Linked DNA regions of Notamacropus eugenii. The protein of the gene in region 4 purifies or fractionates together with the protein of the main gene of each other region. This does not show direct contact. Links are inferred from orthologs where the notes say so. Each region holds a gene or a part of one and is shown on either strand. Other genes may lie near its edges.

The links.
Region 1: the proteins of POLR3D (region 4) and POLR3B purify together in Homo sapiens (affinity purification with mass spectrometry; 8 studies listed by BioGRID and IntAct, counting the BioPlex papers as one, with this or other methods). This does not show direct contact. The link is inferred for Notamacropus eugenii from reciprocal best matches to the Homo sapiens genes POLR3D and POLR3B.
Region 2: the proteins of POLR3D (region 4) and POLR1C purify together in Homo sapiens (affinity purification with mass spectrometry; 6 studies listed by BioGRID and IntAct, counting the BioPlex papers as one, with this or other methods). This does not show direct contact. The link is inferred for Notamacropus eugenii from reciprocal best matches to the Homo sapiens genes POLR3D and POLR1C.
Region 3: the proteins of POLR3D (region 4) and POLR2E purify together in Homo sapiens (affinity purification with mass spectrometry; 6 studies listed by BioGRID and IntAct, counting the BioPlex papers as one, with this or other methods). This does not show direct contact. The link is inferred for Notamacropus eugenii from reciprocal best matches to the Homo sapiens genes POLR3D and POLR2E.

Annotation. Positions count from the first base shown.
Region 1 is NC_092874.1:288,740,549-288,748,174, forward strand, and holds the start of POLR3B (DNA-directed RNA polymerase III subunit RPC2), read left to right. Parts: upstream 1-4,617; 5' UTR 4,618-4,742; coding exon 4,743-4,814; intron 4,815-7,626. UniProt on the Homo sapiens protein: Catalytic core component of RNA polymerase III (Pol III), a DNA-dependent RNA polymerase which synthesizes small non-coding RNAs using the four ribonucleoside triphosphates as substrates.
Region 2 is NC_092873.1:106,460,674-106,467,993, forward strand, and holds the start of POLR1C (DNA-directed RNA polymerases I and III subunit RPAC1), read left to right. Parts: upstream 1-4,315; 5' UTR 4,316-4,495; coding exon 4,496-4,564; intron 4,565-4,648; coding exon 4,649-4,720; intron 4,721-5,841; coding exon 5,842-5,949; intron 5,950-6,215; coding exon 6,216-6,348; intron 6,349-6,422; coding exon 6,423-6,542; intron 6,543-6,835; coding exon 6,836-6,988; intron 6,989-7,136; coding exon 7,137-7,286; intron 7,287-7,320. Other genes in the region: protein YIPF3, read right to left, coding at 68-160, 417-462, 1,511-1,617, 1,848-2,048, 4,124-4,204. UniProt on the Homo sapiens protein: DNA-dependent RNA polymerase catalyzes the transcription of DNA into RNA using the four ribonucleoside triphosphates as substrates.
Region 3 is NC_092875.1:61,561,727-61,569,260, forward strand, and holds the start of POLR2E (DNA-directed RNA polymerases I, II, and III subunit RPABC1), read right to left. Parts: upstream 3,003-7,534; 5' UTR 2,729-3,002; coding exon 2,672-2,728; intron 1-2,671. UniProt on the Homo sapiens protein: DNA-dependent RNA polymerase catalyzes the transcription of DNA into RNA using the four ribonucleoside triphosphates as substrates.
Region 4 is NC_092872.1:612,384,968-612,392,269, reverse strand, and holds the start of POLR3D (DNA-directed RNA polymerase III subunit RPC4), read left to right. Parts: upstream 1-4,294; 5' UTR 4,295-4,427; coding exon 4,428-4,592; intron 4,593-7,302. UniProt on the Homo sapiens protein: DNA-dependent RNA polymerase catalyzes the transcription of DNA into RNA using the four ribonucleoside triphosphates as substrates.

The DNA.
Region 1 (7,626 bases), on a different chromosome or scaffold from region 4:
CTTAGAAGATACAGCTCCAGTAAATCACATTTCATCTCTTCCAGTAAGTGACCATCCTGTTTAAAACAGGGAGATAAAAGAAAAACATGTTTTTACCATAAAGTTTGAATCCAGTTGTGATTCTTTTATGCACTTAATTTATATCACAAGAAAAAATAACAATGTACACTTTTAAAAAAAATTACATTTTTAAATAAGGGCATTTTATTTTTTAAAAGTGACAAAATGAATTTATTTCTGGATTTAGGCAACTTGCATTGACGAAGGTGTCTCAGTCCCCGTCTTCCTGGATGTAGTTCATCCCAAGATTGCTTAAACATTGGCTTCCATTTTAAAGTTTCTTAACATGGTCAAGTTTTGCTATATAAGGTTTATTAAATGTAAAACTAATATTTTCATGTATTGCATAAATTCTGTTTTTGAAAATTTTGGCAAGAACCTGTTCCATGCAAGCTGGCAATGTTCTTTTTTTTTTTCAGTTAAATATTAAAGCATTGACTTAAAAAATGATTGGTATGTCTGTTTCATGGGGGGAGGGCTTTTCAGGGACTCATCCAATACTGCTGACCCTGAGGGACTTTAAGCCTCGGTTAATCAGGTAATCATCATCTTCCTGTTACGTAGACCACCAGGTTCTTCTCTGTTCTTTAAAATTTTATTTTTTTGTTATTTTATTTTTTTGTTTTAGTCATTTTTGGTTTTTTTGTTATTCTTTATTTGACAGATGCCAACAGTTGTGGATATTTCCATATACAGAAGAGAACAGAAAAAGGAGGATTGTATATGAAACTCTAAATCTCTTATATACAACTTGGTTTTTTAGAAAGTATGTCCTCAATCAGTCGTTTGTTAAGCACCAACTATTCTAGTTAAAAATACAGGTACAAAGACTGAAAAGATCCCTACTTGGAATGAGCTCACATTTTAAAATAATAAATTCCTTATGTAGTTTCAAAGCTGTCCTGCTCTCTGTGTCTTCCTCTGAATTTCCCTTGGTTCTCTTTTGTCTATTAAAAAAAATACTTCAATGGCCCTTTGTTTCTTTTTTCTTTTGGCCATAACACTTAGGAGCCCATTTCCTTGCTCTCCCCTTCCAGTTTAAAAAAATAAAATCAAAAACTTGTAATGAATAAGTATGATCAAACAAAATAAAAAATCTATGCCGTGGCAACGTCTGCAAATGTATGTCTCCTTCTGCATGCCCTTTTTGTCGAGAGGTGAGGAATCTGGTTCATCAGGAGTCTCATCTGCTGTTTTCCAAGTGACTCTCATCACGTGTCTCTGCTTTGGGGCTTGGGGTGGTGGGGACAGGGCTGGACTTAGGTCAGACCTAGGGTGCAATGGCATCTGTGCTGAGCACCTGCCTGGGTGCCTATGGTTGGGGTGGTTCGGGTGGTTCGGGGCGGGGGCGGGCACTCACCAACCAGGGAGAAATCAGTGAAGACTGTGGTAGTGGGTGAAACTTGAAGTGAATCATGCCAGGCCTCAGGGGTTCCAAGAAACCAAGGTGAGGAGGAACATTCCAGGTATGGACCCATGGGGGAGGAATAGGGGCTGAGCCTTATTGGACTTGGCCGAATTTTGTCCTTTGTTCAGTGCTATCTGACTTTCAGTGACTCCACTTAGGGTTTTCTCAGCAGAGATACTGGAATGATTGGCCATTTCCTTCTCCATCTCATTTTACAGATGAGGAAAGGGAGGCAAACGGTGAAATGACTTGCTCAGGGTCACCCAGCTAGCAAGTGTCTGAGGTTGGATTTGAACCCCAAATCCAGGGATCTGTGCACTGTGACATTAACTGCCTCAGTGTCATTAATTAGTAGGGGAGCATAAGCCACAAGTATGCAAGATTATGCAACAGCCTTGGAATAGATGAGAATGTAATGTAAGTATATGACTGCGTTGAAATGGCAAGGAGTATGGAAAAATCAAAGGAAGGATGAGCATTTTTCTAGTCATTTAAGATTTCCATAGCACTTTATATCTATTATCTCAATTCATTCCACATTGACCCTGGAAGGTAGGTGCCATTACGATTACCATTTTACAGTTGGGGAAATTGAGGTTAAGAGAGGTTAAATAACTTGTCTAAGGTCATGTAGCTAATAAGTGTCTGGGGCAGGATTGAAACTCCTCTTCTACCTGACTCCAAATCTAGCACATTGGTTTGTAATCAGAGGACCTGGGTTCGAATGCTGCCTCTTTCTACTGGTGTGACTTTGGGCAAGTCACTTAAATTTTTTTGGGCTCAGTTTACACATCTGTAGAATGAAGGAGCTGGACCAGATGACCTCCGCAGTCCTCTCTACCTTTGTGTCCATGATCTTATGCTTTGGAAGGGAGGAGGATGGAAATACTTTCTGATGGGGAGGGGGAAGAGAAATCAGGGAAGGCTTCTTGGAGGAGCTGGCATTTGAGTTGCAGCTTTACAGTTAGATGAGATTTCCAAAAGTCAAGACAGGATGGAGTTGGCAGCCTGTCATCTTTTCTGCTTTCTTTTCTTTATCCATAACATTCTAGATTCTATGGGAAAAGAGAACATCTGCAGATGTCTTGGGAATTTCTATAGTAAATGGATATCTTATTGATATTCGAAGACTTCCAGCCTCATCACCTTAAACCAAGATTTCCGTTTGACGGGAAACTCGTCAGGATGTTGGAGTGGGCCCCATGGAAAGAAGCCAATGATCATGGAGAGCTCCAGGAAATTCTTGAGTCACCCAAGGTCCTTTTAAACAAAAGCCTTTTTCAAAATCAGCCATGCAAGGAGAGGGAAATGAACTCATAGTTTTTCCTACCCAGACCCACAGATTCAATGGTTGGTACTTGGAGTTCTCCTTGGTAGGATTTCAAGAGTTTAAGTATACCTAGGAAAAAAAAGTCTCCCCAAGTGCTCACTGATACTTGAAATTCCATATTCAAGGTTGTTTACCCAACTCTATATTCTGTCTGGATTCAGCTACCCTAGACAGTAATCGTTACTGGAAGCGACCTGATTAAAGGAACCACATCTTTCTGTAGGCTCCAGTGAGGAACTGATGAGCCTTCAATAAATATTGGTTGGATCTAACCATCTAACCCATTGCTGTGACTGAATTGATCAGATATTTTTGGGAAGGCAGATTGTGGCAGAGAAGGCACGAGGCAAACCTTGATGATGTTGGGGGTGATGAAAGAGGCCAAGGCGCCCCCCTTTCCCCCAAAGGGAGGCTGTAGATTGAAAGACATCTTCCTTCATCATTTTACTCTAGGTCCATGCTGGAGAAGACATTCTGATGTGGTTTTCCATCTGTACCTCACGACAACATTGTTTTTCTAAACATTTTCAGAATGATGCTTAAAGAGCATGGCACAGCAAATTTCCATGGTCCTCAAATAATCAACAAACCTGTATTAAGTGTATGTCAGGCTTGAGGTGGGTGGGTGCTATTATTACCCCCATTTTACAGATGGAGAAACACAGTTATGTGTGTGAGGCTAGATTCGAACACAAGTTTGCCTTGGTATCTACTATGCACTTTGCCTTCAAGGAAGCCTAGCTGAAAGGCAGCTTAGAGGTGACTGAGAATAATGATTTCATTTACAGATGGGGAAACTGAAGCCCAGATAGATATTACATGTGAACATATATGTGTATATACACACAGCAGTAGAATATATGTAATATACATATATGTATAAGACACACATATACATACATTATACATGTATATATACACACATATCACCTGTCATACATATAACACAGACATATCTTACATATACTACACCATATTATTGTTATATATATTGTCATATAGTATAGCGTATATTATATGTATATATGCTCTATACACATACTATATATTAAACATAACATATATCTTACATTACACATTACATATATACATAATCTGACAATATATAATGTATATATGTACATACACAAATGTTCATAAACAGATCTATATTACATATATACATAGAGCTTGCACACATATTACACACCCCCTATATTATATTTATACATTTCACACGCACATTAGAGCAAACACATTACACACATCTTACATGTACTATAACTTTATTACAAAGTGCACATACGTGTCATTATTACACACACCTAGATCATATAGATTTCTCCCATGTCTTAGACATATATACACATACATATGTGAGGCATTATATTATATTACACACGGGCATACATTACACACATGTACATATTTTTATAAGTGACTTGTCCAGGGTCACCTTGGGGGGCACCTGGAGGTAGGGTTTGAACTCAGAACTTAGGGCTATTCATGATATATATTTATATTATAATCATCCACTACGTTCAGCTGGGAGAATGATGGGAAGGATGGGCCTCCTGGAGGCGCTGGCGTCTGGGCAGGACGAAAGGACGAAGTCTCCCTTTGCCGAAGTTTTTCTGGGAAAGGAGACGTAGCACTTAAGCCCAGACTGGGGACGCCACGTGGAAGGCTCCTCGCCCCTCCCCCTCCCCCTCCGCGCGTGCTCCCTGGAATGGGCGGGGCTTGTGACTTCATCAGGGGGCGGAGCTCCGCCGAAGACACATCCGGGTCCTGCCGATGACGCCATAGGGTCCCTAAAAGCAGGCGGAACCTTTTCGCCGTCAGGCGTGGTGCACTGGCCGAGGGGGAAAGGTTTGGGTGCTGCACTGCCGGGTGTTCACGCTCGTAGCGGTCCGCCCGCCGCCGTTAGGGTCGCAGAGGTGGGTGTAGCAGTGGCGACTGGAAGCCATGGACGTGCTAGCCGAGGAGTTCGGGAACTTGACTCCGGAGCAGGTGGCCGCTCCCATTCCTACAGTGGAGGTGAGTGAAGCGAAGGAGCCGGACGTGAGTGTTGCTTGGGGGCGTTCCCTCCTCGGGCGCCCGGGCTAGTCAGGGAATGTAGCTGGGGCTGTGCTCCAGGGCCTAGGGCGCATGCTCGGAGCACTCCGCCCCGCCCTCTACGGGCGTTGGGGCTCTGAGTGCGCCTGCGCCCACGCCCACACCTTTGCGCACGAGGTTTCTTCCCGGGCTGTCAGGCCCTAGTCAGTTGCTCGGGAGGCGGTGGAGACCTCGGACGCGTCCTGGTCCTGCCCCGTGGGGTGGAGCTGCACCTCCCGCAGGGTCGTCCTCCTGGACTTCCCAGCTTGAGGGGCATTTTCCTGGGTAGAAAAAGTGGAAGAAAAAATAACATGATCAGCTCAGCTTTCTCCTACTTCATTATCAGTTTTGTCTGAACCAAATCATTGATCTCTCTTTACCTTCAACGGAAAACTCGTTTTATCGACTTTGGGGCTCTCAATAAGTCTGTCAGGTCGAGGGACAAAGACAAAGTTTAGTCAAGGTTTCCTGCCCTTAAGACCTGAACTTAGATTTCCCTGATGTAGGAAACTACTGGATGAGACAGCTCCCACTACCACTGCAGGTTGGCTTCTTCCCTGCAGCTTGTAGTGTTTGAGAATTGAGTTTAAGTGATTTTAAGGCCACAACACTCAGGGTCAGAGGCAAGATGTTTTTGAATCCGGCCTCCTTTTTCAGGTTCCTAGGCTGTCTCTCTCCATCCTTCTTCTCAGTAGGGAGATGTGATACATAAATAACCTACACATAATGTGCTTAAGAGAAGAAAATAATGTTTGAAGTGGTTGGTGGGCAATTGTTTACCTACTTAGCTTCCCCAGGTTTGGAGAGTTCTCATTTAGAGAATTAAATTTAAAGTATGACTAAGAAGGCCTTAACTCCTTTGCATTTTTTACAGTCTCCTAGACTCTTTCTTCACCCCTTTCAGCTAATAAGCCCTTGCTGATCGCGTCATATTGGACGCATGTGTCACCAGGAGACCCGATCCATTTAGTTACAGCCTTAGTTGGTGTGTATGTTGACTTTAATAGAGTTGGTTGTTGTCCTTCGTTCTTGAAGAGGACCAAAATGACATCACCATGATAAAGTTCAATGTTGACTTCAATAGAGTACTATGAGGATGAATGAATAAAAAGACATTTTTTAAACACTTATAAAGTGCCAAGCACTATGCTAAGCCCTGAGGAGTCAAATACCATAATAATAGCTAGCAGTTACTATGTTCCAGGCACTGTGGTAAGCACTTTACAGATACCTCCTTTGATTCCCAAAACAGTGCTGGGGGGTAGGTGCTATTATTATCCCCATTTTACAGAGGAAGAAGGTTAACTACTGGCTAGCCCACTAGTTAAGTGTCTGAAACCAGATTAGAACTCAAATCTTCTGACCTCAGACCTAGCTTTATCCATTGAGCCACCTAGCTGCTTCCAAATACAAAAGCAAGGATGTGTTCACAGAGTTGCTTTACAAAAGATGAGTGGAAGTAGGGAATTAAGTAAGGCATTGCTGGGATTTGCTTGTCTACAATAGTTGGTCAGATGAGACAATCAGTGGAGACAGGGCAGTGTAATGTTTCTGCCTTAGAGGGCCAGGCTGCTGGGTAGGCTCTTGATAAGATAACTGGGTTGAGGGTTTTAGATCTGCTTTGTAAATCACTTGTTGGAACACCTGTTGAACTCTCAGTACACTGAGCTCCAAGGTGTTTTCAATAAGCTGTCTAGTGCCTCTCTCAGCCTGTACTTGTAGTGTCTCACGTTAGTCAGTCGACAGCCTGGTAAAAGGGATACAAAGGAATGAACTGGGTCTTGTTCTTAAGATATTACATTTTACAGGGGAGGAGGATGTGTACCCATTACCATGGTACTGATGTTAATTAAATAGACCATGGCCAAGGTTGGTGGTGGTTGTTGACCGTCATCTTTGAAGAGGACCAAAATGACATCACCATAGTAAAGTGAAATTTCAGTGTGTCCGACTGTGACTGATCAGACCAATATGAGCTCAGAATGCTCATCTGCAGGTTGGGCACAGATAGTCTGTGTGAATATTTGGGGTGGATATCCCAAATTTTTGCATCTTACATTTACTTTGTGCTGTCTCAGTTCTGCTTTGCTCAAAGAGCACAGCACCCTTTCTGATGTGGGCATGCCATGCTGAACAATCCTGTGCCAGTGTCTCCCATGTTGCATAATCAAATTCAAAGTTCTTGCGAGAGACCTTGAGAGTGTCCTGTGTTGCTTCTTCTGACCACCAGATGATCGTCTGCCCCATGCAAGTTCTTCATAAAATAGTCTTTTTGGCAAGCGTATTTTGCATTCGAACAGTGTGGCCAGCCCATTGGAGTTGTGCTCTTTGAAGCATAGTTTGAATATTTGACAGTTCATCTCGAGCAAGGAGTTAAGTGTCTGGTACCTTATCCTGCAGGTGATCCTCAGAATCTTCCTAAAACAGTTCAAATGGAAGAGATTCAGTTTCCTGGCATGACGCTGAGAGACTGTCCATGTTTCACAGGCATACAACAGTGAGGTCAGCACAGTGGCTCTGTAGACCTTCAGTTTGGTAGTCAGTCTAATACCTCTTCCCTCCCAAACTTTTCTTTGGAGCCTCCCAAACACTGAGCTAGCTCTGGCAATGTGTGCATCAACCTCATTGTCAATGTGTACATCCCTGGAAAGTACACTACCAAGGTAAGTGAACTTATCCACAGCATTCAAAACTTCTCCATTTGTTATAATCGATGGTTCCACATATGGATAGTGTGGTGGTGACTGATGGAGCT
Region 2 (7,320 bases), on a different chromosome or scaffold from region 4:
CCCTGGAGCTCAACAGGGCAACCCTGGAGAGTTCTTCCATTAGTTTCCACCCCCCTCATCTGCTTACGATAATGGTATCAGACGTCTTCATCCCATGGAGAAGAATGGCAACCAGGGTGAACACCAGCATGAGAGGCCCATAGAGTTCGCCAGCAATTTTCTGTGGAGACACTAGGTCAGCTTGGGAAGTTCAAATGACTGCTTCCCTTCTACTTCTGCCCTCACAGGCCCCTAACTGTTCTCTGGGAGCTCTTTCCCGAGTCCTGGGCCAGGTTTCCCACCCTTCCTCTCAGTGGTTTTGCCCAGGCCTTCCAAGCTCCAGCACATTCTAACCACTGCTCCTTCCTGGGCTATCATTTTCTACTTGGGAACGGTGCTGGGGACATCAAGTGACAAAAGGGATCATTAGCACATACCTGGGGAAAATTGACCATCTTGACAGGGATCATGGACTCCAGGAGCCTATAAGATAGGAGGTTTGAGAGTAGGGCAGGGTTGCGGGTAACTTTTTCTAGGAGGGATCTCTTTCTTCCACTATTCACTGTCACCAGGAGGGGAAAGTATTTGAGGATGATTGGGTCCACGGGAAATAAGGAGATCTTGGAGAGGTCTAGCAGGGGGACTGCGAAATTGTGGACTGCATTAAAAGTGTGTTTATGTTATTGGGGGTAGGAGGTGTCTAATGTTACTGAAAAATGATTCTCCTGTTTTCCCTAGACCAGGGATGGGGAACCTGTGGCCTTGAGGACATATGTGGCCCACTTAGTCCTCAAGTACAGCTCTTTGACCGTTCAGAAAAATTTTTTCTGTGATGTTTGGATTCTGTCAAAGATGTGTAAAGGCCATATATGACCTCAAGGCCACAGGTTCCCCATCACTGTTAGGATTACTGTATTTAGAGTTGAAATGTACAATGCAGCTTAACACTTTCATTTTATGGATGAATAAAAAGGCTTGAGAGTCTAAAGGCCTTGTTCAAGTTTACAGTCCTACCTTTATGTCTTGATTAAAGTTTATGAAACACAACACACAGTCCTATAAGTAGGCAGGGCAAGAACTTTCCCTATTTTGCCAATTAGGAAACTGAGGCTCAAAGAAGTAAACTGACTTCCCCCAAATCTCAGAGCTACTTGGTATAAAAACCTAGATTTGAACCCAGATGCTCTTTCCACTACTAGTCTCTTAACATTCTACGTTGTACTCATCTTAGGGGGTTGGGAGAAAGGCTGAGCACAGTAATGACTGTGATAGAAAGTGAAGAAAAATGAGGAGATGCAGGTAAACACCTTACCTCTCTCCTTTTAGAACCTGTGTGCTCTTGTGAAGAACCAGGTGGAGTGTGACCTTCACAGGCGCCCAGTTGGCCCTAAGATCAGGATTCTACTCATGACCCCCCCAAGACCTGGCCAAAGGGAGTTCATATGGGAATTAGGGAAGCAGAGACAGCACAGCTGCTGTTGTGGGCCTGGCCCGGGCCAGGGAGAGCAGCTAGGAGAAAGAAAACTCTTACCGGCTTCGAACTTGGGCAGGTTCCACATCAAAGTAAGGCCTGAGGATGTCGATATTAGCATAGAGGCTGAAGGCCTTGGAGGCCTGTCTCTTCCCTGCCTGCCACATCTGAGAGAAAGAGATAAAGCTGATCCACTGAGATTCTACTTTGGTTTCTAGAAACTAGCTTTAGGCTCTGTTGCTTTTTTCTCCATGGAAAAAATTGCAGATATCTTTCAGAAGAGGAGATTCTGATCTGACTGGCATGATACATCCTGCTTGAAGAAGGGGACACAAATAGAATAGCTGGGACAGAACCTTGCTTCTCCTTAGCCTGCTAGAAGCTCAGTATTACTTACTTGATCAGCCACTTGTCGACTCAGCTGTCCTTTGAAGCCCTTCATTCCCAGGAATTCTCCATCTTCCTCCTCAGCAGCAGCTGCATCAGCATCTACCTCTTCTTCACGGAGCCGCTGGTGAAGCTCCCCCATATCTTCAAAGCTAGATCCTGATGTGTCGTCCATGTTCTCCATGTCAATCACTGCTGAGCCTCCACCCTGCTGGTCAAAGGAATGGTTTGTATCTGAACCAGACTGACTCTGCCTGGTACTCACATCTCATCAGTACTCTCCATCCCATGATGGGACCCTGATGTCTGGAAGGCAGGGCCATGGGCTTCTGTTTAAAGGAGAGAAAGGTGTGTGTGCTCGTGAGGCACAGCAGTTTTTCTCTCTTTTTCCTACTTTGGGACTTCACCTCAGGTACCTCTCCCTGCTGTCAGCTTCCTTTTGTGTGTTGTCTTTCTGTATTAGATCACAAGCTCCTTGAGGACAGGAGCTGTCTTCCCCAGTGCTGTGCTAAGCATTTAATAAATATCTAATAGCAGACTGATCTTTCTGATCCATCCATTCAGCTAAATAACACTGTTCCTCTTTTCCTCATCTGAAGATTGGGGTTGTGGGTGGAATGAGGAAGGGGCTTTGTCCCGCAGTTGTTAAGACTTAGTGGTTTTCCTAAAACGTAGATCTAGTTATGATTCTGAGTACACACACGTGCATATGCATGCACACACACACACAGACACAAAGAGCTCCAAAACTCTCCTACTGCTCTTAAAAACAGTACAAAAAATCCAGCTGGCATTTCAAGTCCTCCACAATCTGGTTCCACCTTCCTTTCCAGGCTTATTTCATATTATTCCCATTCATATACTCCTTTTAACAACAAACTGGACTGCTATTTCCATAGCATTGCACTTCTTGCCTTTGTAACTTTTGCACAATTGCACCTCATGTTTGGTAGCCCTCTTTCTTTGCCTCCAGCTTGCTATACCTCCAGTTTCCTTCAAAGCTCAAGTGAGCTGTCACTTCCTTGATTCTTTTTCTGTTCCCTTTAATTATTAGCCCTCTTCCTCTTAGAATTACTTTTTATTTACAAAAACTAAAAATCTATTCTTAACCACATCCCCCCCTCCATCCAATAAGAATGAAATTTTTGTGAGGATGAGGACGGTATCATTTCTCTCTTTGTGTCCCTAATGCCAAGGGCAGTGCCTTGCATTTTGCATAGTGCATAGTGAGCATTCTGTCTGAAATGAACCTTTCTGTCTCTCCCAACTCTAGCAGTTTGCTGTAAAATTTTGAGACTTCTCAGGCTCAAGTTCTACTTTCCAGCCAGACAAACTCGCTTCTTGTCCTCTACCCATCTCTTTCTCTCCATTGAGGACAGAGAATGAGTTCCCCAAGAACATTTTCTCCCCCAACCTTTCCCCCTCAACAAACAGAGGCAAAAGAGGCTCCCTTATCAGATCCCATGCTCTGCTGTTGCTCCCTAGGACCTAAGTTCCAGAATACATTCTTGGTATGTTTCCACCCATGTCGAAGCACTCTCTACACCCGGAATGCCGTCCCTTCCTGGGTTGCTATCCTTCGAGGTCCAGTTTAAATGCTGTCTGATCTCCGCAACGACTTTCCATCTGCTTAATCTGTACACGTATCATACACTTCCTTGTCCTTCATCCCGAGGAAAGTTTTTTCTCTATTTGGCCGGCATCTTTCATGGAATTGCCTGGAATCTACTCTGAAATTGACACGGTTCCTTAGGTGCAAGTACTTAATTTCGAACTTCTCTGAATCTCCCTGAGTATATATGTATACTAAAGGCTCCGAACAAACGTGCTGAAGGAGCGAGTTCATCCTCCCCCCTGGGTGGCCAGGGCGAGGCCAGCCCACTGCTCGCCCGAGCGCTCGGGCCACGCTGCGGCCTGGCCACCGACTTCCCGGCTGGGGGGTCTCCAGCTCCAAGCTCCACAAGGGCCCGAGAAGGAGAAACAGGGGCCGCCCAAGGGGCAGGTTCAGGCTGGAAGTGCAGATGAATCCCTCGGCTCTGCCTGCCTCAGTGGCCTCCCTTTCTGGCTCTGTTTCCTCCTCTGTAAAACGAGGGCACTGAACTGCATGGTTTCCAAGGTGCGCCTCCAATTCTAAACCCCAGCACCCGGCAAGGGACTGGAAGGGGGAGATCGCAAACGCGGAGAGAGAACCTGCGTCCTCGGAGGCGGGGGGCAGCCACGAGGACCCCGCGAGGGATCTGTCGGCCTTCAGGCCGCCCAGTCCGGGGAGGCGTCTAGGGCCATTACCTGGATATTCTCCTCGAAGCCCCCCCACTCTGGGGAGGCCCCGTTCCGGGTACCTCCTGCCGGGGCCACCGGGCTTGCCATGTCCCTCGAAGGATCCCGTCACTCGGACTCGCGCAACTACTGCGCGAAGGGGGGAGGGCCCGGCCCCCGGGAGTGAAGGTGGAGTCGGGGAGACGGGCGTCCCCCCACCGTGGGATGCTCCAAAAGGAAGACGACCGGATGTTTAGGCGACTCCACCCGGAAGCTGTAGACGTGGAAACAAGCAGGTCCACTCTGTCTCGCGAGACGTAGGGGCCGCTTGTCGCCACGGCGACGACGCGAGAAGGCTTGTACGCGTGCGCGGTGGGCGCCCGGTTGTCACGTGGAGCTAGGATGGCGGCCTCCGGAGCGGTGGAGGAGATGCGGAGCCGCGTGGTGCTCGGGGAATTCGGGGTCCGAAACGTAAGGCTCGAGTGACGAACTGGGCCGGGATCCGTACGGAGGAAAGGGTCCCGGCCTCCAGCCTCACGTGCACCTCTGCTTTAGGTTCATACCACGGACTTCCCGGGAAATTACTGCGGCTACGATGATGCGTGGGACCAGAGCCGCTTCGAGAAGGTGAGGGAGGCCCGGTGCGGGGGGGAGCTGGTGAGGGGAGGCCCGGTGCGGGGGGAGCTGGTGAGGGAGGCCCGGTGCGGGGGGAGCTGGTGAGGGAGGCCCGGTGGGGGGGGGAGCTGGTGAGGGAGGCCCGGTGGGGGGGGAGCTGGTGAGGGAGGCCCGGTGGGGGGGGGAGCTGGTGAGGGGAGGCCCGGTGGGGGGGGGAGCTGGTGAGGGGAGGCCCGGTGCGGGGGGAGCTGGTGAGGGGAGGCCCGGTGGTGGTGGGGAGCTGGTGAGGGGAGGCCCGGTGGGGGGGGGAGCTGGTGAGGGGAGGCCCGGTGGGGGGGGGAGCTGGTGAGGGGAGGCCCGGTGGGGGGGGGAGCTGGTGAGGGGAGGCCCGGTGCGGGGGGAGCTGGTGAGGGGAGGCCCGGTGCGGGGGGAGCTGGTGAGGGGAGGCCCGGTGCGGGGGGAGCTGGTGAGGGAGGCCCGGTGGGGGGGGAGCTGGTGAGGGGAGGCCCGGTGGGGGGGAGCTGGTGAGGGAGGCCCGGTGGGGGGGGAGCTGGTGAGGGGAGGCCCGGTGGGGGGGGAGCTGGTGAGGGAGGCCCGGTGCGGGGGGGGGGGGGGGAGCTGGTGAGGGGAGGCCCGGTGGAGGGGGAGCTGGTGAGAGGAGGCCCGGTGGGGGGGGGAGAGCTGGTGAGGGGAGGCCCGGTGGGGGGGGGAGAGCTGGTGAGGGGAGGCCCGGTGGAGGGGGAGCTGGTGAGGGAGGCCCGGTGGGGGGGGAGCTGGTGAGGGGAGGCCCGGTGGGGGGGGGAGCTGGTGAGGGGAGGCCCGGTGGGGGGGGAGCTGGTGAGGGAGGCCCGGTGCGGGGGGAGCTGGTGAGGGGAGGCCCGGTGGGGGGGGGAGCTGGTGAGGGGAGGCCCGGTGGGGGGGGGAGCTGGTGAGGGGAGGCCCGGTGCGGGGGGAGCTGGTGAGGGAGGCCCGGTGGGGGGGGAGCTGGTGAGGGAGGCCCGGTGGGGGGGGGAGCTGGTGACGGGAGGCCCTGGGAGGGCAGGGGCCCCAAACACCCAGCCTGCGCCGGGAAGGGAATGTGGGAATCTTAGGGCCCTTTTCCTCACAGACCCTTTGCTCCCCCATCCTTTCAGGAGTTCCGCGTGGATGTGGTGCACATGGATGAAAGCTCGCTGGAATTTGATATGGTTGGGATTGATGCTGCCATTGCCAACGCTTTTCGGAGGATCTTATTAGCTGAGGTGGTGACGGCGATAGTGACGGTGTTGTGGGCAGGAGGGCAGAGAAGCTGACAGGAGGGAACCACCCTGTCCTAGCCACATTGAACTACTTGGGCTCATTTTTTTGCAGCTCTGTATATTTATTTCCTTGTGGTTGCTTATGCTTGTTCCCTCCCAGGTTCTTTTTTGGAAAGTAGTCAGTCCTTAGAAACATAGGTGGAGGAGAAGATCTGTTGTGTTATATATATATATATCTTTCTAAGGATCAGTATCATTTCTGTATCTAGGTTCCAACCATGGCTGTGGAAAAAGTCTTTGTGTACAACAACACATCCATCGTTCAGGATGAGATACTGGCCCATCGTTTGGGACTCATTCCCATTCATGCAGACCCCCGGCTTTTTGAGTACCGGAACCAAGGTAGGAGAGTGGAGGCTTGTAGAGGGGAGAGGTTGTGACTTGGTGTGATGGCGCTCTTGCTCTGTCATGTGCAGGTGATGAAGATGGCACTGAGATAGATACGTTGCAGTTTCAGCTGAAGGTCAAATGTACCCGTAATCCTCAAGCTGCCAAAGATTCCTCTGATCCCAATGAACTTTATCTCAATCACAAAGGTGAGTAATGACAGGGTCAGGGAAACAAAGGTGCAAATCCAGCTCCTTTACTTATATGATCTTAGGTAAATTAGCTTTTAAGCCCCAGTCTACTCATCTGTAATTTAAATGGTTTGAACTATATGGTCTTTTATAGCTGTAAATCCAGTGATGCTTGAGGAAGTGGGAGGAGTATCTGCCACTATTATTAGACCATAAATTTAAGAGCTTAGAACTAACCACAGAGGCCATCTAGGCCCTCAGTAACACTTCCCTCCTAAATTTTAACTGACATTCTTCGTCTCATCCTGTAGTGTACACAAAACACATGACGTGGATACCCCTGGGAAACCAAGCGGATGTTTTCCCAGAAGGCACTATTCGTCCTGTGCATGATGACATTCTCATTGCTCAGCTACGTCCTGGCCAAGAGCTTGACCTCCTCATGCACTGCGTTAAAGGCATAGGTAAGGATTGTTGGGTGCTAGTCCAACTATGTTGGGGGTGGGGGGAAAGGGCCCTGAAATTTTTGGATTGGAAATGTTAATGGTAGTGCAGTGTAAAGCATGGAAGATGAGGGGGTTGATAAGGGGTATCTCTGCTTTTCCTCTCCAGGCAAAGACCATGCAAAATTTTCTCCTGTAGCCACTGCCAGTTACAGATTATTGCCAGATATCACTCTCCTCCAGCCAGTAGAGGGGGAAGCAGCTGAGGAGCTGAGTCGATGCTTTTCACCTGGTGTTATTCAGGTGCAAGATGTCAAAGGTATCTGTAGAAAGGGATGCTCACATCCCCATGT
Region 3 (7,534 bases), on a different chromosome or scaffold from region 4:
TGAGAGACATGCAAAAACATTTATAGCAGTTCTCTTCGTGACAGCAAAGAATTGGAAACTTGGCAGATGCCCATCCCCGAGGGAACTGGCTGAACAAGTTAGAGCAGAAATGATGAAGGGGATGGTTTCAGAAAGAAACTGGGAAGACATTAACTGACTGGAAGTGAAGTGAGCAAAACAATTTATAAGCTAACAACAACACTGCAAAGACTCGGGAACTCTGATCACAACTCCAAGGGACTCTAGGTGCAGGCCCAGGGCAAAGTCCTTCTGATATATGGCTAAGAGGAGCTAGCTGTGCGTGACTACACATGTCTGTAATGAGCTCTGTTTTTCTTGTCTTCTCAATGGCTGTGGGAAGGGAGAATTGGGAACTGAAAATAAAGTAGGATTTTTTTTTTTAAATAGCATAGATAATGTTCTGGATCCACAGATAACGTTCTGGATCCACAGTCTTCACCTCTGCAGCATTTTCACACTTCTTCTTCCAGGTTAAGTCTGATCAATATAATTGCTCAGCATTCAGTTCGGCCTTGCTCCATTCCACTTGCATTGTTGTCGCCACTCCAGTTCTGCTTACTTCACTCTGCCTCACTTCATAAATGTTTCCATGCTTTCTGAATTCTTCACATTTGTTGTTTTTTTCACAGCACAGTAATATTCTTGACACTCATGTACCACACACAATTTTAAGTCATGCCCACTTGTGGGAATCTGCTTTAGTTCTTTGCTATGAAAAAAGCTTCTATATTGGTGCTTATGGGGGCCTTTCTGTCTGTGGTGCCTGATGGTCAAGACAATAAAGGAACTAACACGTATAAGACCAAGAACCAACCTCCAGCGTATAAATGATCGAAACACATGTACAAAGTTTTCAAAAGAAAAATGGCAAATTGTTAACCATTTGAAAGAATGTTCTAAAAAAAATGGAAATCCAAAAAAAATTATGACATTTCACCTTGTACCCTTCAAACCCACAATAGATAGGAATAATCAATGTTGGAGAGGGAGTGCAAAAAGGCAGGTACACTTAATTTACTGTTGGTGAAAGCAATTTGGAATTATACCCCCAAAAAGTGACTAACCTCTCCATAGCCTCTGCCTATGAAACAGGCAAACAAGCTAGCTGATGCAGCAAAGCACCCTAAGGGTAACAAGAGGTAGCTCATTCAAGGTGAGTCAAACCTCTACCACCACCTCCCTTCAAACCTCAAAGGACACAGCCCAGAATCTTGGGGGATCCCAACAGAATCTAATGGGAGAGACAATGAGCAAATACGTACAAACAAGCTATATGTAGAAGGAACAGAAAATAATTGATAAAGAAGATATTAGAATTAAGAAGGGTTGGGAAAGGTTTCCTGTAGAAGATTGTAATGCCTTAAGGAAACCAAATCACCAACTACTGTATACATAGTAGGCAAATCAGCACAGCTTAAGAAGCAAGGCCCTCATCATAAGAGAAAAACAAAAGGCATCACGTTCCAGCCAAGATCAACCACTACCACCTCCAAAAACTTTTTAAATATCCCCAAGCCCACCAGCCCTATTTCTAGCTAGGGATCCTGCTTCCAGGAGAAATCACTCTGGAGAAGGGGCTCACCTTCCTTGCCACTATCAATACCAACTGCCACCAACTAGGAGGCAAGCCCAAGAGTCCTGGGAGTGGCAGTCCTCCTCTAGATCACGGGTCCTGCTACTTTTAGCCCAGCCACCACCCTAGGAAACAAGTCCTATGGAAGATGTGGTCTACCAATTGCTTCTGCAGGTGTTACAGTCACAAGTTACTGAAGACCCAGAAAAGAATTTCCTTTGTCCTTGGAGCTATCAAATGACTCGGTATCAGCAATGGAAATGACTTTAGCAGTGGAAACATTAAAAATGATACCCTACTATCTGCTTTGCTACTGCACTCTGAGGACCATGGGACCTTTCCATCTGACTCGCAGCTGACACCTTCTCCAGGTGAGTTCCTAGAAAGCAGGGAGTGTCTTTCTCCATCTGCATCCCCAGCCTCAGGCAGAGCGCTGAGTAATAAGCGCTTTTAAAATTCACTCATTCAGAGACTCCCCTGCTAGCCCAGGGGAGAAGGACAAAAAGTATCACATCAAGGGAGAAGGATAAAAAGTATCACGTACATCAAAACATTGTAGCAGCAAAGGACTGACACCGAGCAGATACCCGTTGATTGGGGAATTGCTAAACAAACTGCGGTACATGAATGTAACGGAATATCACTGTGCTATAAGAAATGACAAATATACCCCAAGGATTCAGAGAAAGCATAGAAATATTCCTGATTGATGAAATGACAGTACATGGTAAAGTAAAAGCACGCAGACCTTCCTCCAAAAAGATCCACGCGGGCCTGACCCCCTCCCATTCTCAAGTCTCTCCCTCACCAAACTGCTCTTGGCCCGCCCCTTCTCAACACCCACCCCCGCCTCCCCCCGCCCCTGCATTTCTCCAGCTTCCGCTCCCCCTTCCCAGAACCCCCCACGCGCCGCTTCTCAAGCCTTCCCCTCTCATAACCCCCCACGCGCCTCTCTCTCTCCCTCCTCCCCTCTCATAACCCCCCACGCGCTAGCCTTCTGCCTTACCCGCCCTCTACCCTAACGCGCTCACTTCCTTCCTCTACCTCTCTCGAGATCAAGGGAGACTACTGTCTTACCTGCATGATGGTCTTGCGGATCTTCCATAGTCGATAGGTCTCCTCTTCGTCATCCATGTCCTCGTCGCGTCAGGCCGAATAAGGGACTAAAACCTCTCTAGTTCTCCAGTACCGCACGCCCCTCAACTAGGACCCTGAAGGAACTAAGTGCGTCTGCGCGAGGCCGAACATGGATACGAGTGCGTCTGCGTGAGGCCCAACAGCAGGCCCCCTTCGTGTCTGGGCTGAGGTGTCTTAGGAAATGCCTGAGAGTAAGGGAGCAGGCAGTGTGACAGACAAGCCGACCACTGAGCGTTCGGAGGTCGGCTGTTAGTTGTTTTGTTAGAGGCTCCAGGCAAAGCCCCACCCCCTGAGAAATTCTCGCGTGTCTTTAGGAGCAAGGCTGCCTGGGAGTCGTAGTTTTCCAAATTGTCGTTCCTCAAGCTCTGAGATCCTGGAAGGTCAGAACTGGGAGGGAGGTACATCACCAAATATTAGGCTTCTTCTCTGTGCTCAGTGCCAGGAGAGACACAAAATTTAGACAAGTCATTGCCCTTGTCATGCAGCTCTCATGAAAATCCATGTCATTTACCTCATTTTATTGAGAAGGAAACTGAGGTCCATAGAAGAGGAAAGAGAAGTTACATAGCAATTTAGTGATAATCAGTCTTGATTCCACATTCAGCATTTTTTCCGATACTGAGGAATAGTGTCAAGGCAGTTTATTTCCAGGTAGTCAATTTCTCCCACTGATCTTGGTGTCCAGGGAATCATAGAATCTTAGATTTGGAAGGACCTTCAAAAGTTATCTAGTCCAACTTATATCAGAACAGGAATCTCATTTACAATAACTAGGGTCATCTCTTTAAATCTCCACCTAACAAAAGAGAGGGACCATTTGGGAACCCCCAGTTTCATAAGTTATCGATTCAGATCTAGAAGAGATCTTATAGATCATCCAGTCCATAGAAGGCACAAGACAAATTAGTTGTTAAGTGAATTAAGAACAAGTGAGTTTTTCAAGGTCACAAAGGTGGAATGTTGGAAGTAGGATTTTAATTTAAGATTTAATGAATCCTAGGTAAACGACACACTCCAGACCAAAAGAGTATGTTTTCCAAGATTTATTTGTAAAGGACCAGAAAACACAGAGATTAAGAAGATTTAACAGAGAAAGGTAGTTAGAAAATCAAATTAACAGGAAACTCCCCAGTTGCAGAGCCTCTGTAACCTAATTTTTAACAGTTCTCCCCAGATCCTGATCCCATCAAGACTGGGAACCCCTCAACAAAGCCCTTCTCTTTGTCTCTGCTGGTCCCAAGGAATTTCCCTTTCCAAAACTCGCCAAACATACTAAGTATGAGGATTTCTTCCTTAGGCTTCCATGCAGGCTTGGCAAGGAATGAAGCTTCTTGGATTTTACTAGATAATCTTCAAGGTCCCTCCGGTTCTAAATCCTGCAAGTCTGAGGATTTACGCTTGGGGGCCTGGAATTAGTAGCCCTGAATGCCTGTGAGTCAGCCTCGTGACTTGCTGGGAAAGATGTGCAGATAACTCACTTGGACTTTCTGGCTTAGTTGATAACCGAATTACCCTTCTACATCATCATTAGGCAGATTAAGCAGGCTGAAACTGGACCCTATAGGCTATGGTTACACAGTCTAGGAGACAGAGAGTTGAGTGCCAGGTTGTTTGGGGAACACTGTCCAGGTAAATAAGCCACACAGGGAAAGCCGCAGTCCCTGGACCGACTTGACCCCAGCATCAATCCCCTGAGGCCACGAGAAATCTGGGCGTCAGGTGCTCTGCGGACGTAGCTAGTCTCCACAATGCCTCGCCCCAGTCCTGGCCACACCCCCAAACCCCGCCCCCCGAGGCCACAGTTCCGGCCTGTTGATTGGCTGACTGAGCCGCCTATCCAGCCCCGCCACAATTCGGACCAGTGATTGAAGGCCTGAGGGCGGGGCGATTCGGCACGGCCTGCCCCCCGGGCGCGCGTTGATTGGGGCGCTCGGGAGGGCACCGCCTCTGGGAAGGAGGCTCCCCCGCCGCCGCCGAAATGAGTTTCAGCCGCCTCTACCGTCTGGTGAAGCCAGCTCTGCTGTGCGCAGCCCTGGCGGCCCCCGGCCTTTCCAGCAGTATGGTGAGCCTGAGCGGCCTGCGCGGCCGCGGGAGAGGCGAAGAGGGGGGACCCGGCCGAGGCGGGGGGCCCGGCCGAGAGGGGGCCATTGCGCCCCAACCTCCCCTCCGCAGGGCCGTTAGGGGCGGGCGCGCGAGCCGCCCTCCCTCCGACCCCCCAGCCCTCGGACGCGAGCCGCCCCTAGCCAGCCTCGCTCTGTCCCGGGTCGGGCCCAGACCCCTTCCCAAATCCCGGGACGGGGCCGAGGCGGGGGTGGCGGGAGGGAGGAAGAGACGCGGTGGGGGAGGTTGCCATAGGGGACCGGGCTGCGGACCAGACGTCAGCGGGCGATTGTTCTCCGAAGCCGGAGCCGGGAGGGGGAGGGGCAGGGGCGAAGGCCACCCCCCCCCCCCCCCCACTGGCCTCCAGAACGCGCAGGGGAAGGAGGAGGGGGCGGAGGGGGCAGATCCCCGACCCTGCTGCTTGTTTCTTCCGCGGGTGCCCTGAAGTAGCCGCACCGGGGGTCCGCAGGCCCTTTCGACAGCGGGGTGACCCTGGCACCGGTTCACTTATTGGGCCTCAGTTTCCTTATCTGTTAATGGTGGGGAAGCCGGGCCAGGCGGCCTCTGAGTCCCCTCGATCCCAAGCTGGGAAGGGAGGGCCCTGGGTTCTAGTCCTGCGTCTGATGCTTTCTTGGGGTGCGATCGAGGACTAGTCTCTTAACCTCCCTGGGTCATCTCTTTCTCCATTCCCTGAGATGAGAGGGCCAGTTCCATGACCCGTGAAGACCCTCCTGTTTCCCCATGACCCTCTCTGTAACACAAGGGCGTTGGCCTCCGAGGTCACTTCTAACTCTATTTATAGCAGAATTCTCCATCTTTCGCCTCTTCCTGGATCCCTCTGTCAGCCTGGATAGGTCCCCTACTGAGAAGAATGTTTTTAAGTAATTGCAGGAAATGCCAAATTTCAGTTAAAGCTTATTGAAATAAAGATGTATTTTTTCCATCCAAGTTCACAGACCCCTTCCCCCTATTGTAAACTCACCTTTTGGGGCCTGAAATTCCCTAGCTGTAGAATGAGGGGGAGGGGGAGTTTTCAGCTCTAAAATTTACCAATCTTATGAGTTCTTGATCTGCATTTGTCTTAATTGTGACCTTGGGAATGTACTTTTCCTCCCTGAGGCTCAGTTTCCCCATCTGGAAAAGCAGGATAGCAACTCTTGCCCTCCTAACCTACAAGTCAACAACTGTTCCTCTACTCCTGTTGGCCTTGGGCTGGGAAAGCTAAGAAGAGAGGAGGAAATGGGATTGGGGGAATGGGAGGGAGGGTGGTGGGGACAGGCACATTAATACAATGTAGCAGTTTTTCTGAAGTCTGCAAAGCCAAGGATTTTGTCAGGAGAGCTGAGTCTGTCTGTCCTCTGGGTTATGAGGCAGGGCCACTGGCATTAATTGTGTGTTTATGGGCCCAAAAAGTGGATATTAGCACTGTTATTGGACTGAGCGCATCAAATTGAACTCCTTTCTCCTGAAGCACAAAACACCCTATACTGTGTCTCCTTTTCTCTCTGTTTATGGTGCTTCTTCCATCTCCCTCCTAGTTCCCATGTCCAGTCACCAAACCCTATTCGTTCTGGCCCCACCATATCGCTCATCTTTCTTCCTTTCTACCACTACCCCCTAGCCCTCATCACCTGGATTGTTGTAATTAGGCTTCTAATGGTCTTACTACCAGGGATCTTCTCTCTCTTTTTCCCCCTTCCCCCCAGTCCAACCCATCTTTCTTCACTGTCCAGAGGGCCTCTGCCTCCTGACATCCTACTGTCCCTTCAGGGCCCACCTCAGGGACCCTTTCCTGATGGATCCCAACTGGAACTGAACCCTGCTGTTTAGAATCTCTCTTGATCCCTCCTGTGCACCTAACTAATCGTATTCCAATTTGGGTACTTCTGTGTACATACCTCTTCCTTCTCTCTACCCGCTAGATCAACCACCCTTTGAGGCCAGAAGTTGGCTACCCTTTCATCTCTACACCCTTAGCCTTGATAACATTGACTTGACTAAACTGAACTGAGTAACTGCCTAGAAATAGACAGCTAGGATTGTTGTTCTTATTTCCCATTGTGTGGGTAGATAACCTGACTTAGGGGACAGTGTTGAAAGCTCTAAGGTAAGAGGTAGGAGGGGAGGCTGCTGAATCATTTGGATCACAAGATGTCTGTTCTGGACTGTTGGGCTATGTGTGGGACTGGAGTCCTCTGTTCCCTGCCCTGCCCACTTTAGGCTTGGACTAGCTGCTTTCACCACCTCTGCTGTGTCCTGGCCTCTCACACTCCAGCCTCCAGCTTGTAAATATTTTTGAGATTTGGGTTTGTTTTCCTCCCTGGAGTAATCTTATGGGTGTGTCCACTGTTTCTCTAGAAACTGCTGTGCTTGAGAGGCCGTAGAAGGAGACCACAAGGAACAGCCAGGCTTGGGCTGGCCCAGACCACATGTAGAGAACAGGGACTGAGGTGTTTGCTTGGTAACTTCCCCCCAAATAGACCCACTGAGGGGAGCCAGCCTCAGAACACTGCCTGACGCCTCTGTTGGGACACGTGGATAAAGAGACCTGGTCTAGGAGTGTGTGGATGTAGGCTCCAGGCCTGGCCTTCCTCCTAATTCAGATCAGTCCAGTCAACGTGTATGATGTATTTGTGACATGCCAGGCCCCTGGGCCCAGGGTGGGCACGAGCAGTTTCAGAGAAGGTGCCACCTGCATTGGCA
Region 4 (7,302 bases):
CTATCCAAAGAGGTAAAAACCAATTTCATTGTATTCCTGAAAAAAGCCAGGACTGCTATATCACATTCACCTTACATCTGCATTATCCAAGGAAGTCACAAGGTTCAGATTCTCTGGTCAGTCAGGCAAGGTTCTTGAATCTCACGTGTTTTAGGGTGATCCCCTCTATGGTCATTTCTTTCTTTGAGAAGAATGCCGTGACAGGAATCATCAGCTACTAGGCAGATGGCATCCAATTCCAGTTGCCAAGGTTGGAAATCTTCATTTCTCAGAATTGTTGTTCATTGACCTGGGGTCAAGGAGGGAAACAAATGCAGAAGAAGCAAATGGCCTAGGACTCAGTTTTATCTGGGCAAGCATGTGCTCTCACGCTTTCTGTTTGGGGTCACTGCTGCGCCTGGGGAAGACAGAGAAAGAGAAATCTCCTCCCTCCCTCTTCCCTTTGCTGTAATTCCAACAGAGAGAAAACACCCGGTGCATCCCAAATGCGGATATTTTTCTCCCAAGTTTTTTTATAGTCCATGGAAGGGACAGCTCCTTTTAACACATTTTCAACACAACCCACCAGTTACAGGGAACAATAAGGTGTTACTACATCATTTTAACATGGCCCATGTACTTCAGCAAGGGAACAGAGAACATATCCATCTTCTAGGCCCCAGGCCAGGAAGTCAGAAGTTCCCTTGACCTCTTCCTGCTATAAGCTAATGATCCTAAGTTTTTTACCAAAATAAAGATTCATCTTTTTATCACCAATATCCTTCCAGTGATGCCATATGGCTATGAGTCATGGAAAACTACAATCCTTTACAGAATTGAAGTCGGGGATCACTCAAAGGGCAATGGAAAAGCATATGGTGGATGTGAGTAAACTGTAACATGGCAAATAAGGAGTTGTGCAGAAATGGTGGCAAAAGAAATATCAGAGAAAGATATGACCACAAAAAAAAAATTGACTAATCATATAGGAAGCTAGGGGGAACAGTTTAGCAAGACTGCTAAACTTGGAGTCAGGAAGATCTGAGTTCAGATCCAGCTTCAGACACCTTTTTAGTGTGATCTTGAGCAAGTGACATAACCGCTGTGTGCCTCAGTTTCCTCATCTGTACAACAGGGATAATAATAGACCTTTCTTCTAAAAGCTGTCACAAGAACCAAATGAGATGATATTTTCAAAGTGCTTTTGCAAATCTGAAAGTTCTATTTAGCTGCTAGTTATTATTATTATGTAGCAAAGTAGAGGGATAACTGATGGTCACATACATCACTTGATCCAGAACATATCAAAAGAGTTAGAAAAAGGCCCTCAGCACATTGTGGATTTAGGAGAGGGTATGGACAAGAGTGTCACAGAACAATCAGGCACAGATGCTTTATAATCAAACTACCAAAGTAACAGTCCTTATTATACTGTGGTTTTGATCAAACTCTCAAAGTTCCTTATTATACTTGGGTTTCATCTATGTGGCCCTGCCCTCCAATCTCACAGACTGTAATTTTTTCCTACTTTAACAGATGCTCTTCAGGTGGTAAGAAACATTATTATAATGCAAAGAAAATAAATAACCTTAAAAATGTTAATGGAAGAAAAAAATTCTTACATTTATAAAGCACTTTAAGATTCACAAAGCACTAGAATACGCAGAGACACAGACACATATTTATATATATATATGCATCTTCAATGTATATTGAATCAAATATATATATTTGATTCAATCAAAAAGCATTTCTTAAGAGCTTAAAGAGGCCTATTCACTGAATGGGCATTACCTCACTCTAAGTGAGTAACTCAATAGGCCTTAGCCTAAAGAGGTCAAGGTCTCCCAGTGCATCCTGGGCTGTCTCCAGTCATCCTGATGATAGCTCTAGAGGAGAAGTGAGGCTGCCGACCTTGCACAGCCCTCCCTCACACAAAACAAAGTCAAGTGCAAGTCATGTCATTATTTCTCTGATATCATGGTCTTCTTCAAAAATGAAGGATAAACACAATTATATTATATGCTAGGCACTATGCAAGGCACTGGGGATTCAAATATAGAATACAAAGAATGAAACAATCTCTATTCATGAGGGGCAAATTCATGGGACAAACAAATCATCAAAGTGTAAGCTAGGAGGGCTCCCCTCCATTGATGAGGCTCATTCAGGGCATGGAGAGAAATCATCTGAAGTCTAGCTTACCTCTAAGGAGAGGTGAGTGGATATACCATTGTCAGCACACCAGTTGGGAGACAGAAGCAGGAAGATCCCAGGAGCACTACCAAGCAGACTGTTCTTTTCTCCAGTCTCCAAGAGGAATACAAGATTAGAATTATATCTTTCTGCCTCCATAAATATTGCTCTGATTTGTAAGGATCCAGAAAGAAAGACACCTCCCTAGGTACTCTAAAGGAGGAGGGTAGCTCCAAACCCACTTTGACACCTGCTGGCTTGATTCCTTCCCACCACATGGTAGTGACACACACAAAAAAACCCATCATAAATAGTGAATAGCTAGTAAATCCATTAATCCAGCAAACGAACAAACAAAAATCAGAGGAAACTATATATATATATGTATATATATGTATATATGCATACATATATATAATATAATTTACCAGAACATACCCAAGAATCAACAAACTCTTTAGATGGGTACGTGATAAGATCTAAGCTCAACCCAACTTACTCAAGACAGTGGGCTTGGTCTCACCCAAGGAGAAGTTCCCTTTCCAAAATCTCTGTGGAAGAAAACAGGAAATCTTGTTCCCAGGGACCAGACACCCCACTGCTGGCTGCAGACATGGTCTCTGGCTGGCTCCCGTGTCTGAGTCTTCTCCCTCCTCATCTCCACTACTGGCTTCCCTGGCTTCTAGGAAGCCCACCTTCTCCAGGATGCCACTGTGTCTTCCTTCTCTTAACTGCTTCCTATCCCTCCTGAGCACAGCTTGGGCTGTTTTCCAGATACCTGTTCCTCGTCTTCCCCAGGAGCCTGGGAGGGCGGTGGCCGGAGCTCGCCGGACACACGTCCACTGCCTGACCCAGAGGAATGGACAGCAACCTCAGAAGAAGAAGCGCCGGCGGGAGGGGGAGGGGGAGGGGGAGGGGAGGGGACAGGCAGAACCAGGACAGGCCTTGTGGAGGAGAGGCCTTGAAGAGGCCGGCCTCCTCCCATCCAGGGGTTTCTTTCTCTGATTTAAAAAGTGCTCATTCTTTAAAAACCCATCCCTGGATTCTACTGACCCCTCGAGCCCTCATCCCATGCCCTTTTGCCCATTCAGCAAACACCAAGGGATCGGACACAGGCCCCCTGTGGTCCTGAAAGCTCTTTGCAGCCTGGCCTTTGCTGCTTCTCACTTCCGGTCTCTTGTGACCCCAGTCGGGGTTTTCTTGGCAAAGGTGCTGGAGGGGTTTGCCATTTCCTTCTCCAGCCTATTTTACAGATGGGGAAACTGAAGCAGACAGGGTAAAGTGACTTGCCCAGGGTCACCCAGCCGAGGCCACTTTGGAACTCGTGTGGATGGAGCCCTCCTGAGGCCAGGTGCAGCCTCCAGGTGCACTATGGCGCCACCTAGCGGAGGCCGGACGTCAGCGCCAGCGCTACCTCCTGCTTTAAACCGTTTTAGGCCAGGGCTACTGGGCTAGCACAAGTGCGCTGATTGCACTTTGCATATGTTTTGCATATGCTTATAACCCTCGAGCATGCCTTCTGTTGCTTATCGTACATAGCCGTTCACACATTGCTCCCCACGCTAGCCCCTCAGCTCCTGGAGAGCAGGGACGGTCTTTTTTGCCTCTGTCTCCCCAGCATTTAGGGGATGCAGAGCCTGGCACACGGCAGGTGCTTAATGGATAGGGTAGGGTCTTTGGGGTCTGGAGTTGTCTCGTCGCGTTCTTCTCGTCCTCACTTACTGACTGAAGGCGAAAAGAGCACCCAGACTCCACGTGTGAGGCCCTCAGCGCTAGCAAACGTTCCAGCGCATGCGCGTGCAAAGCGCAGCCCTTCTATCGTAGCGCCCCTCCCCCTGCACGGCCGCACTTCCGCCCTTTTGCCCTTTCAGAAGACGGCTACACCCAAACTGCGTACTGAGGCGAGCTACGGCGGCCGTAGAAAGAAGCAAAGGATACCGGCATTTTTCGCTTCTGCCCTTTACTAAAATGGCGACGCCCATCCTAGTCTATCAACTTCCGCCTCTCGTCTCAGAGTCTCCTAGACCTGCAAGGAAACGAGACGGAAGCGGTGGGCCAGACTGGTTTCCGCCCTTCCTCAAGGTGGTGGCCCTCAGCAGCTACACGCCAAGTTCCGCCCGGTTCTCAGGCGCAGCCGCAGTCGCAGCCATGGCGGCGGGGGCGAGGCTGGCGTGAGCGGCTCGAGGTGGGCGCTGCGCCTTCCTGGCCGAGGTTTCTCAGCCACGTGGCTGTAGGTTGTGGGCCCTCTCAGGATGTCTGAGGGCAACTCGGCCGGGGAGCCGGGCCCCGCCGGGGGGAGTCGTCCCTCGCTGCCAGGGGCCCGGGGGCTGATCGGGCGGCGGCCCGCGGCCCCCTTAACCCCGGGCCGCCTCCCTTCCATCCGTTCCAGAGACCTCACTCTAGGGGGCGTCAAGAAGGTAAGAAAGGGTAGTTCCAGAAGGCCGCCCGCCCAGGCTCGCTCCAGCCCTCCTTTCCTGGCCTCCTGCACGCTCTTCCATCCTCCTCTCTCTGCAGTCCATTTCCTCTGGCCGGTTTCCGTAGACTTCATCTCCTGCCTCCAAGCCTTTGTACGGTCGGTTTGCTCTCTGTACTTTTCATGCCTGTGGCGCCCTTCCAGGCTCAACCCCGAGGTTTGGTGCTGATGGAAGCCCCCTCCTGCCAAAGTCTTTAGTGTTCTTTCCCAACCCAAATCATATTTATCTGCTTACATAGTTTATCACAGCTCATTCCCCTCTGAAATTGTAAGGGCTTTGGTTGGCTTGTGCCCTCGTTATGGCCTTAGGACTGCCCAGTGCACGTAGGGAAAGCTTGTCCAGTTAGGTGGATCCCTCGCTGCCGGGACCCCTGATGTCTCCAGTGTGGGTGTCCCCGCCCTTAAACCTTATAGTGCTTCATTAAAAAGAAAACCTTTAAATGAGACAAAATAAAATTACCACGTGTCAGGCTCTGTGCTGAACAAATAAATACCTTAACCCTTACAAATAGTTTATTCGATTGATCCACACAACTATACTGGGAGGCCGGTGCTGTTATGATGCCCATTTTACAGATGAAGAAACTGAGGCAGATAGAGGTGAAGTGACTCTCCCGTTGTCACACAACCAGTAAGCATCCTCAGAGGTCACATTTGATCTTGGGCTGCCTAGTAGAAAGCACATGGAGTTGGTATGGTTGAAAAATTCCATCCCTTTACTGCCAGACTGGTGATGAAGCTGTCTGCCCATAGCCAGTAGTGCCCTGTCCTTGGACAGCAGTGGTCTGTACTGGATGCTTTGTGTTCCTCTGGCATCCCAGTTGCTTCCTTCCCAAGATAAAGCATCAGAAAAGACTTGAAGAGGAAATTCATTTCACAGACATTTATTAAGTTATATGCCACCTAATGAAAATGAGTGTAGTCTTTTCCTTTGGTGCTTATGTTGTGTTGGAAGACATCACATATCCACAGACAAGTCAATACCAAACAGAGTGGAGTCAGACTCTTCTTCCTGGATTCAAATCCAGTCCCAGACACTGTGACCTTGGACAAATCACTTAACCTTGTTTGCCTCAGTTTCCTCATTTGTAAAATGAGTTAAAGAAGGAAATGGCAAACCTGTATCTGCCAAGAAAACCTCAGATGGGTTCAGAATTAGAAATGAGGACTGAACAACACAAATAAGGAGTTAGAGGAGAGAAGAGCCCAAGGGGAGTACTTTGTGGCGGTGGTAAATCCAGAAAGGTTAGCCCTTGAACTTAGTCTTAGGGTGCTAGGGATTCCAAGAGGTGGAGGTGAGGAAGGAGAGCTTTCCAGGCACTTCGTGCAAGCCTATACAAAGGCATGGGGGTAGAGTAAGTAATCTAGGTTGGAACTGAAAGTGTGTGAGATGAAGTAATATGGGATAAGTCTGAAAAGATAAGGTGGAGTCAGACTGTGAAGGGCTTTAAATGCCAAACAGGAGTTTGCTGCTGACATTTTTTTTTTTTTTGTGGAGGCAACTAGGGTTGTTACTTGCCGAGGTCACAAACTAGTAAATGTCTGAAGCTGGATTTAAACCCAACACCTCCTGATTGCAAGTCTGGTGCTGTATTCACTGAGCCACTGAGCCACCCAGCCACCCCCAGCAACTTATTTTTGAGTGGGAGAAGTGATATCATCAGACCTTAGGAAAACTGATTTGGCAGCTGTGTGGCTGTCAGGTGGGAGAAGGAAGAAACTCAGTAGAAGGCTGTTGAGGTAGCCTAGGAAGTTATGAAGGCCTGTACTAGGCTGGTGGTTCTCTGACTGAAGGGGATATATACAAGAGATGTTTAGTGGTAGAATTACAAAGACTCAGCAACTGATGGGCTGTGAAGGAGAAGGAATAGTCAAGGATACATAATAAGCCGTAATGATAATAGCAGTTCTTTTATCCTTAAAGGACCTGAGATTTCACTGACTCAGATCAAAGCTCTTTCTCTACCCAGCAGGCAGGCCACCTTCATGTGTTGCTGTGGCTTTTAAAAAAAAAAAAAAAGACCACCTTTTGTGACAACAACCGGTTGTCAACCTTGTGGTGATGAAAGTGATGACGGTGGCCCACGGGCGTGCACTGTGTGATTTACAAAATGCTGTCCTCAGCACTGTCTGTGAGGTGGATAATGCAGGTGTTATGCTCTCCATTTTTGCAGCGAGTAGGCCACATTTTACCAGACAAGATAGCAGTCTAAGTCTTCTAACTCCTAGAGGTCACTTCAGCACTGCCCCCCAACCCCGGCTTCTTTGCTTTAGAAACTCAGTACCATGGTTCTTGGGTTGTTTTCCATTTCCACAGGGATTACACGAGGGGAAAACAAGCCAGGGAAGGTTCTGCCAGGCTGGAAGAACTTCTAGTACAGACCTGTGAAAGGCAGTCTCTTTTGTCCAAGGACAAGCCTAAGTGTCACCACAGGAGAAAGCAACTCACGTTTCTATAGCATTGTAAGGTTTACAAAAAAACACTTTCTTACCAACAGTATTTTCTCCATTTTATAGTGACTCGCTGGGGTCACAATTGCGGGGCTCACAGGGCTACTAAATGTTGGAACTGGGGCCTTTCTCCAAGTGCAGTGTCTTTGCCATGATGCCACCCCAGCCTTGCTGAAAATTCAGTTCAACAAGCATTAAGTGCT